Drosophila melanogaster: one gene and its partners. The protein of the gene in region 1 interacts with the protein of each later gene in a pairwise test. Each region holds a gene or a part of one and is shown on either strand. Other genes may lie near its edges.

Region 1 (4,073 bases):
AGGCGACCAACGATTAGTTGGTTTTCAGTAGACACCCGCTACTGAGTATGTTGGCCTGGTACCAAAAATCCAAAATTTGCCACTAAAATGCTAATTTTGTAAGCAAAATTAACAGATTTTCGGCTTAAATTACCAGGCGAACAGGAATTCCAGGAGGCGACCAACGATTAGTTGGTTTTCAGTAGACACCCGCTACTGAGTATGTTGGCCTGGTACCAAAAATCCAAAATTTGCCACTAAAATGCTAATTTTGTAAGCAAAATTAACAGATTTTCGGCTTAAATTACCAGGCGAACAGGAATTCCAGGAGGCGACCAACGATTAGTTGGTTTTCAGTAGACACCCGCTACTGAGTATGTTGGCCTGGTACCAAAAATCCCAAAATTTGCCACAAAAATGCTAATTTTGTAAGCAAAATTAACAGATTTTCGGTTTAAATTACCAGGCGAACAGGAGTTCCAGGAGGCGACCAACGAGAACAGAAATTCCAGGAGATAATTATTTTCGATAATTTATTGAAATTCATTCCTTAGGGCTATGAAAAAAATTCACTTATAAGTTAAACATTAATAGCTAGCTGGGACTTCTACAACTATAGATGATTCCATTGATAGTTAACTGGTGGGATTGCGAGATGCACTACAGCTAATACATTTTCCAAATATAACGTATACTCCAAGGACTTAAAGTACTTAAATGCGAGCGTGTAAAAAAAAAAGAAAGTTGAGCCCCCTAAACTATTCACAGATAAGCTGACCCAAAAACTGGACATACGATTCGGATCCTCGCGTTCAACGCATCAAGAGAGGAGTGGACCTTTAGGCGGTGGTTACTTTGGCGGAGGTGAAGGCGGCCAGCTGGACCTTGAGGGCGTCGATCTGGCACAAGAGCTCGATGTTCTGGCGTTCCAGATAGGCGGCCCTGATGGCGATCTCATCCTCCTTGATGCGGCGGCGATCGCGGGACTTCTTGGCGGCAGCATTGTTCTTGCGACGCCTCTCGTAGTATGCGGCATCCTTAACCTGGCTGCCCGAGCTGATGCCCGAGTTTGCTGCAGTAGCGTTAGCCAAGTTGCTGGAGCTGCTGGTGGCGGACTTGCTCTCGAAGTTGCCCGCCTGGGAGTCACAGTCGCTTGACTCCTCCGCAGCAGCGCGATCCTCGCTTTCGCTGTTGTTGTTTGAGGAGCTGCCTTCGTTGACGGATCCACTTCTTGAGTTGGTCCTTCGCATTTTTGGGTTGGTTACGGTGCGCGATCCTCCGTTGGAGCTGCGGATTTGCTCAAGCACTCGCTTCCGGTATTCCGTGTAGCGCTCCACTCGCGGATTGTCCAAAAGGACATCAGTGGCTGCGAAATTGGCAGCTATGACCAAGGGATCCCGGGGAAAGGCCTTGAAGGGACGGGTGTTCTTTCCCGCCTCGCCGCTGCTGGAGGTGGTTGGCGTGGTGGCCTCAACAGCCGGTGACAGGGGATTCTCCAGAACGTCTATCTGCATGGTGCTGGCGTTGCTGGCGGGTCTTGGTGAGTTGGTCGAAGAAGCGGCAGCAGCAGCGGCGGCCGCAGCAGAGGCGGCAGCAAAGGTTTGCAGAAGGTTAGCGGTTGGTGTAACCTTGGGCGGAGCAGCAGTGGGCGTGGCTTGCTCCTGCTTGATGTTGCTGTAGTAAAAAGCGGGATACAGGGAGGCTAATTGTTGCTGCTGCTGCTGTTGCTGTTGTTGCTGCTGATGTTGCTGCTGTTGCATTTGGGCGGCATACAGAAGATTGCTGGTGGGCGAAGCCGAGGGGGAACCACTGCCGTAGCTATAGCTTGTTTGATACGGCGAGGGAGTCTTCCTGGGTGTCTCTACGCTGTCACATCGACGGGAAAGATCCAGGACCTCTGCAGAGGAGGTATGCTGCTGCTGCAGCTGCTGATGTTGCTGCTGCTGCTGTTGCTGTTGTTGCTGCTGACTGAGGGCAGCTCCCAGCAACTGCTGCTGGTAGGCGTAGGCCGTGTACAGATCCATTTTGGGTAGGCCCAAGGATCCCTGAACCGGCAATTGGCTGTGCGGCAAGTGGTGCAGTGGTTGCTGCTGGTGGTGCTGGTACTGGTGGTGGTGCATCAGGGGCTTGCGATCTGCAAAGATTGAGAGAGAGAGGGGATTTGTTAGTTTACGGATCGAGGAGAAACCAAGGGGCGTGGCCAACTTACCAGTCTTGAGATCGAAGAACTGCCCGGCCATGAGTTTCTCGTGCATTAGCATGGTGTTCGGTGTATGGTCTCTGGGTTTAATCCAACTGATTGACGCTATATAGACTGGTGATCTAGCTCTGATGTTGCTATATCTTCACGCTGACGATGTCGAACGCAAACTGATTTCCTCTCGTCGGAACCCCCTGCATTTATACCGAAAATCCGGAGGCTGCGCCGACGCCTCATTCACATCGAAATGGCGGACACGAGCGGCCAGCCGAAGCGGTACGAAGCAGGTAGGCGGTACAAAGGCCAAAGGGCAAAGGGGTGATTCTGGCTTTGCTTCTGACTCTGTCCCGCTCTGGCCTGTTGCCCTCTCTGTCTCACCGCTTTCGAAAGGGTTTTACAAGGGTGCGGCTGCCCTTTCCCTCATTTGGTTTTCGCAGTTTTCGCAAAAATCATAGTTCTTTGTGCTATTGTTAGTTCGCCATTTAACGTAATTTTAAAAAGAAAGTACAAAGAGTTTTCGAACTTTACGTTTCATCAGTTTCCGCGAAAGGATATGGTTTTTTCTTGGTTTTAATATTCAATGGGAAAAAATAGGAAAATTCGTACCACCTCTGCAGTGCTTTACATTTCGTTTTCATGGAATTGGTTAAAAATATTCATAATCAATATAGAGTTATAAACTTCGGCTCTATTTTCATAGGCGTTCATTGCGATGTTATAAGTCCAAGTTTGAGGAAACCCCAGATTTTTGTATATACCAGCATTGTGCATTTGATTTTTTATTACAATTGTACCTAACTTACTTGCTTTGACATCCAACTGATAAAACCCTTACCCAAAAACCAATCTTAAAAATCTTAAGTTATTAAACCTTTAGATTTAAGTAACTGCTGTATATATTGCTTTCAAATATAAAGAATAAACCGCAATTAAACATCGTAGGCTATTCTCTTCAGCACTGAAATAAACCATACTTCTGAATCTTCTAGAACATTTCGCATATCAAAGACCCCCCGACCGTAGACTATTATAATTACACTCAAATCATACTTTTCTGGCCAGAAAGAGAGGCATCTGGCAGAAGAAAAGAGATGGAATCTAGTTTGTTGATAATAGATGCACAACATCCAAGGGTTGTGATGGCTAAATCCGTTTGTTTTGCGCTTTTGTTTCGAAATCCTTTTGCTGACCAGCCCATCTAGAATCTGTGTATCCATGCGATGGCGAATTCGTTGGATTGTGCGTGACAAATTATGGAAATTAGGACGAGTTCTGGCGTTCTTGCAATTTTCAGCCCTTTTCGGCTGGCGTAATTCGCATCCTTTTCTTATTTCGGCAATGAAAACTCGGCTTCCCGGAATTTTGGCAAGGACACTCGCCAGTCTGCCCATTTGATTCATGACGCCGCCAGCCCGAGGATCGAGAATCGAGAGTCCAGGATCATTGCGACAAGTGGCCGTCCGTGTTGACTGCTCGTGTTTGCCCTCCTCCTTAAACATCCTTGATTCTACGTCCTTTATCCCTTTGGCTTCCGCTGCGGCGTGGGATGTGGGATCCTCGACAAGTTGTTTCACTTTGTTAACTGTTTGTCCTAACGGTCGCCTCGACAGCCAACGGAAGTGGGTAGCGGTACAAAGTTGGCTATCATCCATGGGAAATGTTATGCTAGATACTTACTGCAGCTAATTCGAGGACATAACGTAGTTTAGATTTGTTACGCTGAAATGTTATCAAATCCTATCAACAATACCTACATTATATACTATCTTTCATTCATTCTCTTTTTACAACTGCCCATTCAGGGGGATTGGGTGAATTGCAAATAAAAAGAGGGATCGATCGATGGTAATCAGTAAAAAACCGCGAACTTATCCGCTAATCCGTGCGCTAATCC
Region 2 (4,741 bases), on another chromosome or scaffold:
TTCGCCCGGAAAAAGTGTCTTTTCATTTCAGATGGGACACGCGCTAGATTCGTTTGAAAACTCAATGCAAAGAAGCGATAAAAATTGTTGCTATTTGCGTTCGTTTCAGTTTGCTCAGTCGGATTTTATGGCATTAGAAGTGCTGCGAAAACTAGTTAACAATTCCTTTACGATCCGCTAAGAGAGGCAAAAGGAGCGAAACTACTACTTCAACTTCTACTCCTACTTCTAATACTACTATCTGCATGGCGTTTTAAAAGTTTTCTTTTGTTTTGACATTATTTGGGAAATTGAAACTGTAATATTTGCAGCGAGAGCTGCGAGAGCTAAAGTTTGATTAAATTACGTTTTTACCATTTGGCTTTCGAGTTTTACAGCTGTTTACAAGTTGTATTTATTGTACTGGCAGTTTAAAAGTGCTGAACTGGCTTTTATTGTACTCGGTTTATTTTTTCAAGACAAATAACCAATAATAAAAGTCAGCATGGCATGGAGGTGATAAACTTGTAAAAGCAATTCAATTAGTTTTGATCATCTTCTGGCTTCTTAGTTACAAGGGAATCAACATCTCAGTGGGCAAACAGAAGGTGTTTTTTGTATCAGCATTCAATTAGTTTTAGAAAAATCATTTATTTTGTGGAAATTCGTTTTGGGTTAATATAAACTAAATCACTATCTTTTGTTTGATTTGATTAAGTTTTGGATTCGTGTATGTTTTTATTTATTTATAATTTTTTCTCTAAAGTTCCATGTCTTTAACCCAATCAATACAAACACATTCCCTCTGGACTTTATTGTTCTCGTTCGCTTTCTTTCATGTCGAGCAGGTTGCTTCATTAAATGGTTTCTGTAATTGCTGTTTGGCCACAAGTTTGTTTAATTGTTGGCTGCAATATGCGCTTACGGCATCGTCTCTTGTTGTATGCAACAAGCCGGAAAAACGTGCCACCCAGACGAGTGGTATGGTGTGGAGTGGAGTGGGCCAAGACCCAGGGCCAAGACTAAGTTCCAGACCAAGAGCAAGACCAAGACGGAGAGCGAGTCGAGACAGCAGAAGAAATGGTAGCAGGCAGGCAAAAGGCACAGCTTGGGCTAATTGTTAATGTGGCAGTGAGATGTGGGTGGTGCAACGTGGGTAGTTACCAACTGCAGTGGCCGTGGCAGTTAGAACCAGTTTGGTCTTTTTTGCCCTGGCCAAAAACCGGCGGCAAAGTCAAGTTCAATGCACATAAAAGACTTTACGGGTCTAGAAAGTGCTGGGGGTACGAGTGCTTCCTGGGCCACAAGGAAACTTGGCTGAAAAGAAATGCCAGCAATGGTCGCAAACTTTTTTTTTTTTTTTTCCATCCACTTAAATTGCAAATTTCCAGTTTCGATTGCAAATGCTGCTGGTGCATTTTCCTTTCGTCCCGGCAGTTGGATATGGATTCCAATGTCGATTCGGTTAGATAACCACAGCGGGCCTTCATAAAGACCGGGGTCATAAAATGGAGAGCGTTTTGGCCAAAAAGCACAAACAATCAATGCCAGTTGCATAACGAATTTTTGAGCAAAGATACTTTGGAATACGCTTTATGATTTTAATGCCTGGTAATTAAACGAAGTCTGGCCAGTATTCGCTGGTTTCCGGGCTAATTGAAGTTCAAGTGCAATGAAAATAAATTGCTTGCGAAATGTGCGTGCGCCAGGAAAATGAGAAGAAGCCCGCCATATGCAGTGACTGGCCGCGTCCATTTCCTGGCCAGAAAATGAAAATCGCTGCATCGAAGGCCGACACTTTTCCCAGGCCCACGCCCAGAAATTTCGCTCGAAGTCTCTCCACTGGCGCTTGTTGTTTTCACGCCTCGATGGCCCTTGCAGTTGTCGGTTATTTATATTAAAATTTCAGAATGATGAACCCGACCCGAAACGAACCGACCCCATGTACTTACCATTAAGGTGGGGATGCCACCGCCGCAGATAGCCATTTCCATTTTCCTTGGATGTCGGCGGAAGTTCGGGCAAATGAGGCGTCAAGTTGCACGTTGCACTTTTCGCGTTTCCACAAAAGTGGCAGCTCAATTTGTAATTGTTGTTGAAATTTCTGTTATTCTCCCACGCTGTTTTTCGCCGTCTTGGTATTTTAAATACAAATTGTAAATGAGTTTGTTCAGCGTTGAACCTTATTGTTTGTTTGTCGGACCTGGAAAAGTATTCGTTCAGTTTGGTTAACTATCACAGCAGCTAATTGCGAAAAGTGCTTTTCAAATTCTCATATTAACTGTTTTAAACATTTCCCCATAATTATGAAACATCATAATTAACAAATTAGTAAAACAAAAATCATTATATGGTACTTTAACAGATGACACATCTGCAAAGGCTGTGTTAAATGAGTACTTTTTAAAACTATGAAGGCAGAAAAATAGTATCCTGCGATTTCAAAAATTCCTGTTCTTAGAAAATCAAATGAATGACAAATGAATGAATTATGTTTAATGAGAATTATTTCTGATCTTATATTCTTTACCAAAATCTTTTTCATTAGTAACTAAGAGATTTTTGAGATAAAACAAGACCATAAAATCTAATTTAACAAATTTAACTATCTAACTAATCGTTTTCGTTATTCGTCCTTAGATGTTTCACTTATAAGTTTCACTTTTGTCATTCAGTAAAATATTCATTAATTTGCTCGACGTTTAACTTGATGCGTTTATATTTTTTTGATTTAATTTATTTTAAGGTATATTATATCCTTGTTAGCCAGCACTTTGGTTAAATGTAATGCAAGCTCTTTATATTTTTTTTTTTTTTACAAAATGATTTTCTCATATCCTTTGCGGAGAAAAGCAAACTTTGACTATATTCATTCAACTTTGTCTTTGAGCTTTGTTTAAACTTGCTCGTCGCAGTCCTCGTTCGTTTCTCATTTATTTAATGCGACTTTTAATTTGAGTTTTCGTTTCGTTTCGTTTCGCTTTGCCTTGTTTACTTTTGGCTGGAAAAACTGTGGAGGAAAACCGCACGCTTGCGCGCTGCTGTTGCAACTGTGCCTCGAATTTTCGCGCCACTTGAGTTTTGTGTGTGTTCGGGGCCGCGCAGTTTTCACGGAGACAGCCGGTTTGTTGTTGGCTCGCTTTTCGCTGCCTCGCTTTTCCCATTTTCCATTTCCATTCCTTTGCCTTTGCCGAAAAGACTCGGCCATGTCTGGCGTATTGCTGTTGCATTTTCCATATTTTTTCTCCTCCTTCTTTTTTTTTTGAATTTTATTTTTTTATGTGTGGGGCATAATAAGCTGCTGATTAAATTTGCAACGCTCAGAAGGAAGTCGAATTTGCAATTTATTCGGGGAAATTCATTTGCATTCCAAATCTGTGGGGATAAATGGAAATTAGACAGGTGCTACGATGCCAAAAATGATTTTACCTATATTAATTGTTACATTTTTTATAAATTCCAATGATTAAGAGTTTATTAAAGTTGTCTTTATATTTGATATATATATTCTTCAAACAGAGCATTTCTTTTTCGACTTTTGAAAATTGAAAACCTCACCACTCACTTGATATTTGTCTTTTAGCTGGCTGCATTTCGAGCTGCTTTTTTGGCCATGGCTTTGGCCAAGGCGTTAGCCAACTTTTGACCATCAACATTTGCACAATATGCGCTGTTGCTGTGCTGATGACAACGAAATGTACAAGTTTTCCTACCATCTGTGTGCATTTTTCTTTATTTTTTACGAGGGCTTAGAGTGCGTGCGTCTGGGGATAAAACTGAGCTCAGTGCCGTCATGGTTGTATAATTAATTTATTAATGGCAACAAGTGAAATGCACTGCCACGCATTTCCTATAAGGCTTGGCCCAGCCTGATTATGTGATTTATAGGAACTTATATATTTATAAGTTTGATATTGATATTTATATTTGATTTATAGAACTTATACCCCTTGGTTGGTGTGATGTGGTGACTGGTGGGTAAGAGAGTGCTAACCCCTGGGAAAGTTCAACTGCAGATATTATGCAACAGGCAACCGCGAGTCACGCACGCGCTGCCGCAAATGAAGTAGCTGACAAATTATCTTTATTTCATTTTATATTATTTTATTGCAGCCCATGGTGGGACTTTAAAGCGGCTTAGAGTGGCGAGGTCGGACTATCTGTTCGAGTGCATCGAAACCTGGGCCAGATGCTGAGCTGATTGGGGATTTTTGGCTATGATTGGTGGTTACCACGGGAAAGAGAGTGAGAGAGAGAGGGGGGGAGGCGGCTTTTGGCACTTTCACATTTGTTTTTGCTGGTGTTGAAATTGAGTTATTAGAGGAGAGCCATGTAAGCGACCAGGGGCGTATACTTAATATTTAAGCAAGGGGGGGGGGGGGGTAATATTCCCAGCTTACTAATGAATACATATAATTTTTATCAATTTTATAAAATCGTTTCTTTTTCATGACCAGAGCTTTCGACATCACTTTCTTTACCCCTTCCGCCGAGAGTCTTAATTCCACACCTCTGGGCACGTTCCTCGGGCAATGTGCCAACCTCCTACCGAAAGCCACATAATTGCTGTAATCGCGGTGGAGATTTGCAATCTCGTAATAAATTCAGACACCGAAGATGCGCCAGAAGTTGGAGGAGCCGCTCCCTCCGGCCGGAAACCCCCATGTGGCCACCAGATGCGTCGCCAGTTGCAGCTGCAATAGGCGGAAATCTCACACAGAAAGTTGCATTGCGGATGCAGTCATCGTCGTCGTTGTCGTCT
Region 3 (4,635 bases), on another chromosome or scaffold:
TATGAGTATTTATAAAGTTGGCCAAGTACAAGTCCAATTCCCGAACAGACACGTTAATGTGGTACGGATTTACACATAATCCTGGATGTAAACATTCCGGATTTTTTTCTAACCGCTCACCATCTGTGCTTTCTAATGGAATCGCCTTGAAGAGTATAACCATGACCAAATCAAGCCGCCATACTTTGTCAGCCTGTCTTAAGCAGTCAATTCGTCTCATTTTTCCCTTTTGATCGGGGTTTGAGAGAACACAAATTGATTTTCTTTTCCCGATTATAGATTGCACAAAATCCTCTCGACTTTCTTGTGTAATGTCTTTTCTGAGTTTTCCAAGAAGACGGGAAGCCCACTTTTGCTTCACCTCAGTCTTTTCATTCTAAAAAAAACGATTTTATACTTTTGTAAAAATTGTTTGTATTAATACCTGGAGTTCATCTTTACAATGTCTTTCTTCTTCCAGTGACATACGTTTTTCATGTTTCTTATAATATTTTCGTTTGGCGGCTTGCAAATTAAACCAAGAGTAGGAAAATGATTTGACGTACGGTAAGAGTGCCTCAATAAAAGGGTGAAATTCATCCTATATGTAAAAAAGGCATTTAATTAGTTACTGATCTTAAATAATTTTACATGTCTAAGTGCATATAACTTAATGTACTTTGTATATTAACAATAAGCTTAATACGGATTTAAGGACCATAGAACAGAGACTTAAAAGTCCCTAATTGCCTCTAACTGTAATAAGTTTTAAATACTTGACAATCCCAAAGATAGGTGAGGTATGTTATAGTTGTAGTTAGAGTTCTAAAGTGCAAAACAAGGAATGCTTAAAAAATCGACAAAAATTTACAAATAAAAACCATTTGCACCACCTTATGTATATATACAAAAAACTACGTATTCCATCATTCCTGATGGTACTAAAAATTATATTATATTTTTGTTTAAAAATATATTTCGATTAAAAGTGCAATTGTGAAATTGTCACATTTTTTTAAACAAATCAAGAAATTTATAAATATTATGTGCTTATACTTGCCAAATACAAAACATAAAGATGTCGCTAAATTTTTGCAAAAAACTGACTGATCTTTGCGTTTCAAAATTTAAAGAGCACCTAAACAGAATGGCAATAAAACAACAAAATGCTACGACCTTTTTTGTCAGCTTCTATCCCTTTTGTCATTTGCTTTGTTGTAAGTAACGATTGTTTAAAATGTGCTTGCCCTTCTAACATATGTGTGAACACAAACGTACACATTTTTTGAGAAAAAAGTTCATATATACATAAATGTATATATATGGTCTTGATCTTTTTAAAATATTAGTTGGATGTACGTGCGTACACATACATATGTTTGAAAATTTATATTAATATTCATAGTTTTAATAAGAGTATATCTAATATTAAAATATAACTGAAAGGATGAAAAGATTCTACAGAGTCTGTGTATAAACAGAACAGGGTTCGTTGTACCCGAATATGCACGATGGGGTTTTTATTTTCCTTTACGTATCCAAATGAGTACATCTAAAAGCAGTACGTTTGGGCGCTCTACGACGCCATCTATTCAATGCTTCAAGCCAGCTTCTTAGCTGTGGGAAAAAATTGTAACGTTGTTTGTGGAAAATGAAGCACTCTGTAATACTGCTTTTCCTGGATATGTTCACAAACTTCCGACTGGGTGGGATATGATATGGGATATCAAACGAATTAGAAAACAAGTATACTGTGTATATACGTACGTATATGTACAAATAAATGTAAATAGTGTTCTGTGAATAATTTCCCTACTTTTCCACATTTTTTTATTTCGTTCTAATGTTGATAAAAACAATGTTTCGAATTTATTCATAATATGACGGGATTCATTTTTAATGTACATACATTGCGGTTGCGGTTTCAACCCTTTTAGTTTAGTTTTAGTTTGTTATTTATATGTGAAATTTCCATTACTATTTAGAAGGCAAACTAATTATTATAATTTAACTCAAGAAATATAGAAGGTCTGATATTAAAAAGCATGCGAATTATTCCGATTAAGAAAAAACTATATTTGTACCTATCGTGATAAATTTGGTCTTGTAAAATTTAAAATATACGTATTCGAGAGCATAACTTAGTTCTCTTCAAATTATCTCACTGTTAATCGCATCTATCTTACTAAATAACTTACAGACTTTTTCGATTAAGCATCACTATTTTTCGTAAAAACCTAAAAAAGGTACCGACGGCGCTTTACCTGTCCCGATGATGATGTTTGCAAATAAGAAGAAACGTCCGTCTCGATCATACAGCCTCTTAAAGTTTCTGGTATAAACATACCTCAGGTATTGTTACTTTCATTGAATCGTTTATTGCATTGTCTATATCGAACGTAGTCTAAAGTGAATCAAAAAATGTATTGAGTTTAGGTAGTATTGCTGTGTATTTTATTATATAAATATAATTAATGTTCCTAGCAATATTTTCAACGCCCGTCTAACGCCCACAAATTCGAAAAACCTGTAAAAGATCCAGCGAGTAACTGCCAAGCAATTAATTTAACCACCGGTACGGATTCCTCCCAACTTACATGTCTTTATCTCCGTTAAAGGCCCTTCAGCTGAGTAACGCATATCTGAGGTATCGATGTACTCGGCTATTACTGTCGGGACAATCCGCAAAAAAGTTACCGAGAATCACATAAGAAGTAAACTTTCTCATGTGCTTACGCACAATAATGTATAGAGAATTAAGTCGTCCGCTCGTCTTTAAAGTTATTAAACTACAACCTGTAATACTATCTAAAAATGCAACTGTAATTTGTTTTCTTTAAGTAAACTAGTAGTATGAATGGTATTCTACCATAATATTTTAATAAAGTCCTTCTTAAAGTTAAGTCAGTTCTAAGACCTCGCGGGTTTTAATTATGTGAAAAACACAATTTCATATTTTTTTTGTTAACACTTACATGTATATAAAGGCAATTTCTAGTACACGGAACAATAACTGAGTAGCTGTGTTATGCAAAACTTGTGCTTATAGACTAAATTTAAAATGGGCAAATCACAGATGACTTCTTGGATTTTTGTTCTCGTCAACTGTTATTCTCTTTGAGAGACATACATATGTGCATGAATCCAAATTAATCAACAAATACATAAGCGACCCAAAGGGCCCGAGCGAACCAAACGTTCTAAAAATGGATACTAGTGCTCTGAGAGACTGGAACTAAACGAGAGAGCTCATTGAAATTCGAAATGCGCATGTGACACGCAACTACAGTAAAAATTCAACATGTCAGAAATATCTACCAAGCCCAATAGCTTGATGACAATATTAATTCGCCTAACTAAAAGGAACTCGGAAGTTTTTATATTAAAAAACACATTTTATGGCAAAAACTATAGATCAATCAAGGTGTGAATGCACAAAATTTTTTTTAAAAAATACTATATTAGTTTAAAATTAAGCAACATGTACAAAGAACAGTTCCCTATTCCATAAGAAAGGAAATGGCCGTATCCGTTTAGAAGGTTGATTTTAAGTACGTAGTTTCTTAGAATGTCGAATTTGTGCAAGTTCGTTTCCGAAGATTCCACTCCTCCTCTGAAGTCCTAAAAAGGTTTTTTGTTTGTTGAAATTAGTCAATATGGCGAAATAAATTTTTTGGTCATCGAGTTCAAAGACTCTCAGATTCCAGTAATTAATTTTTCTGGAATATCGATAGAAATTGGGGAATGAAATAAAAACATTCAAAAATGGGCGTTAGAGTGCCCAGTGCAAAAACTTGTTTGGCACATTGATGGAAAAGGCGGTTTGTGTGCGTACATTTGGAACATTTGGAATCTTCCTTTCTAATCTCAACTCTCCTGCTTTAATAGTTCCTGAGATCGAAAGACTTCGCCAGATCAACTCGACTATTGATCTTGATCAGTAATACGTTTTTTTTTGTTCGAAACGCTTCCTTCAACATGTTACACACATTTCAACGAACATAGTACACCCCCATATTATAAGTGGTGACCATAAAGGCCTTGGTTATTGGATGAAATGAATGTCAACTTCTTGTAAAAAGAGCGATTTTACCCTATAAACCCGATCAAGACCGATAGACTTTTATTGATTTGGAATAAAGTTTTTCTCGCTTTTGAGATGAAGATATTTTGCGTCGAAATAATTGGATTAAAGAAATCCCAAATGCATTTGGGATGGGATAGTTGACTTCCGCGTCTATCAGATTACGCTTACTGAGGGAGGATAGATAGAGAGGCAGGTTACAGACGGCGAGGGAGGACGAAAAGCGAGACTTCACGAGTGAGGGCAAGGCGGCAGGAAAAGCAAGAAAGCAAGATACAAAGACTGACCTGCACAAACGGAAAAACCGTGGACATTGGAGACGCCGAAGATTAACGTTTAAAGTGGGCCCATTTAAGCATTTCAAAGACTAAATAGCCAGTCATCATGAATCAATTGAAAGGCAGAATCCGGATAGGTACGACACTAGTAAAGACCAAACCATGGCATTGACCCGGCGAGTCCAGTCCTAAAATAAACCCCTGCGCGTGTCAGGACTGTGCTTATGGCCTTGTCAAATGTTTTAGGAATTGATGCCAGGAGCGTTCATAAAAACTGAATATGCGTGGTACCGG

Evidence for each region. Proteins that work in one complex are often made in the same cells at the same time.
Region 2: the proteins of gt (region 1) and Cpr50Ca interact in a two-hybrid assay, tested with the Drosophila melanogaster proteins (one large-scale study listed by BioGRID).
Region 3: the proteins of gt (region 1) and NfI interact in a two-hybrid assay, tested with the Drosophila melanogaster proteins (one large-scale study listed by BioGRID).

What each region holds. Positions count from the first base shown.
Region 1 is NC_004354.4:2,426,613-2,430,685, forward strand, and holds gt (giant), read right to left. Parts: upstream 2,356-4,073; 5' UTR 2,241-2,355; coding exon 2,189-2,240; intron 2,114-2,188; coding exon 819-2,113; 3' UTR 501-818; downstream 1-500. UniProt on the Drosophila melanogaster protein: Represses the expression of both the krueppel and knirps segmentation gap genes. Binds, in vitro, to the krueppel regulatory elements CD1 and CD2. It is required in the early embryo for the development of portions of the head and abdomen.
Region 2 is NT_033778.4:13,768,207-13,772,947, reverse strand, and holds the start of Cpr50Ca (cuticular protein 50Ca), read right to left. Parts: upstream 3,034-4,741; 5' UTR 2,975-3,033; intron 2,183-2,974; 5' UTR 1,974-2,182; coding exon 1,932-1,973; intron 1-1,931.
Region 3 is NC_004353.4:273,337-277,971, forward strand, and holds the start of NfI (nuclear factor I), read right to left. Parts: upstream 3,034-4,635; 5' UTR 2,955-3,033; intron 2,384-2,954; 5' UTR 2,325-2,383; coding exon 2,244-2,324; intron 581-2,243; coding exon 425-580; intron 377-424; coding exon 1-376.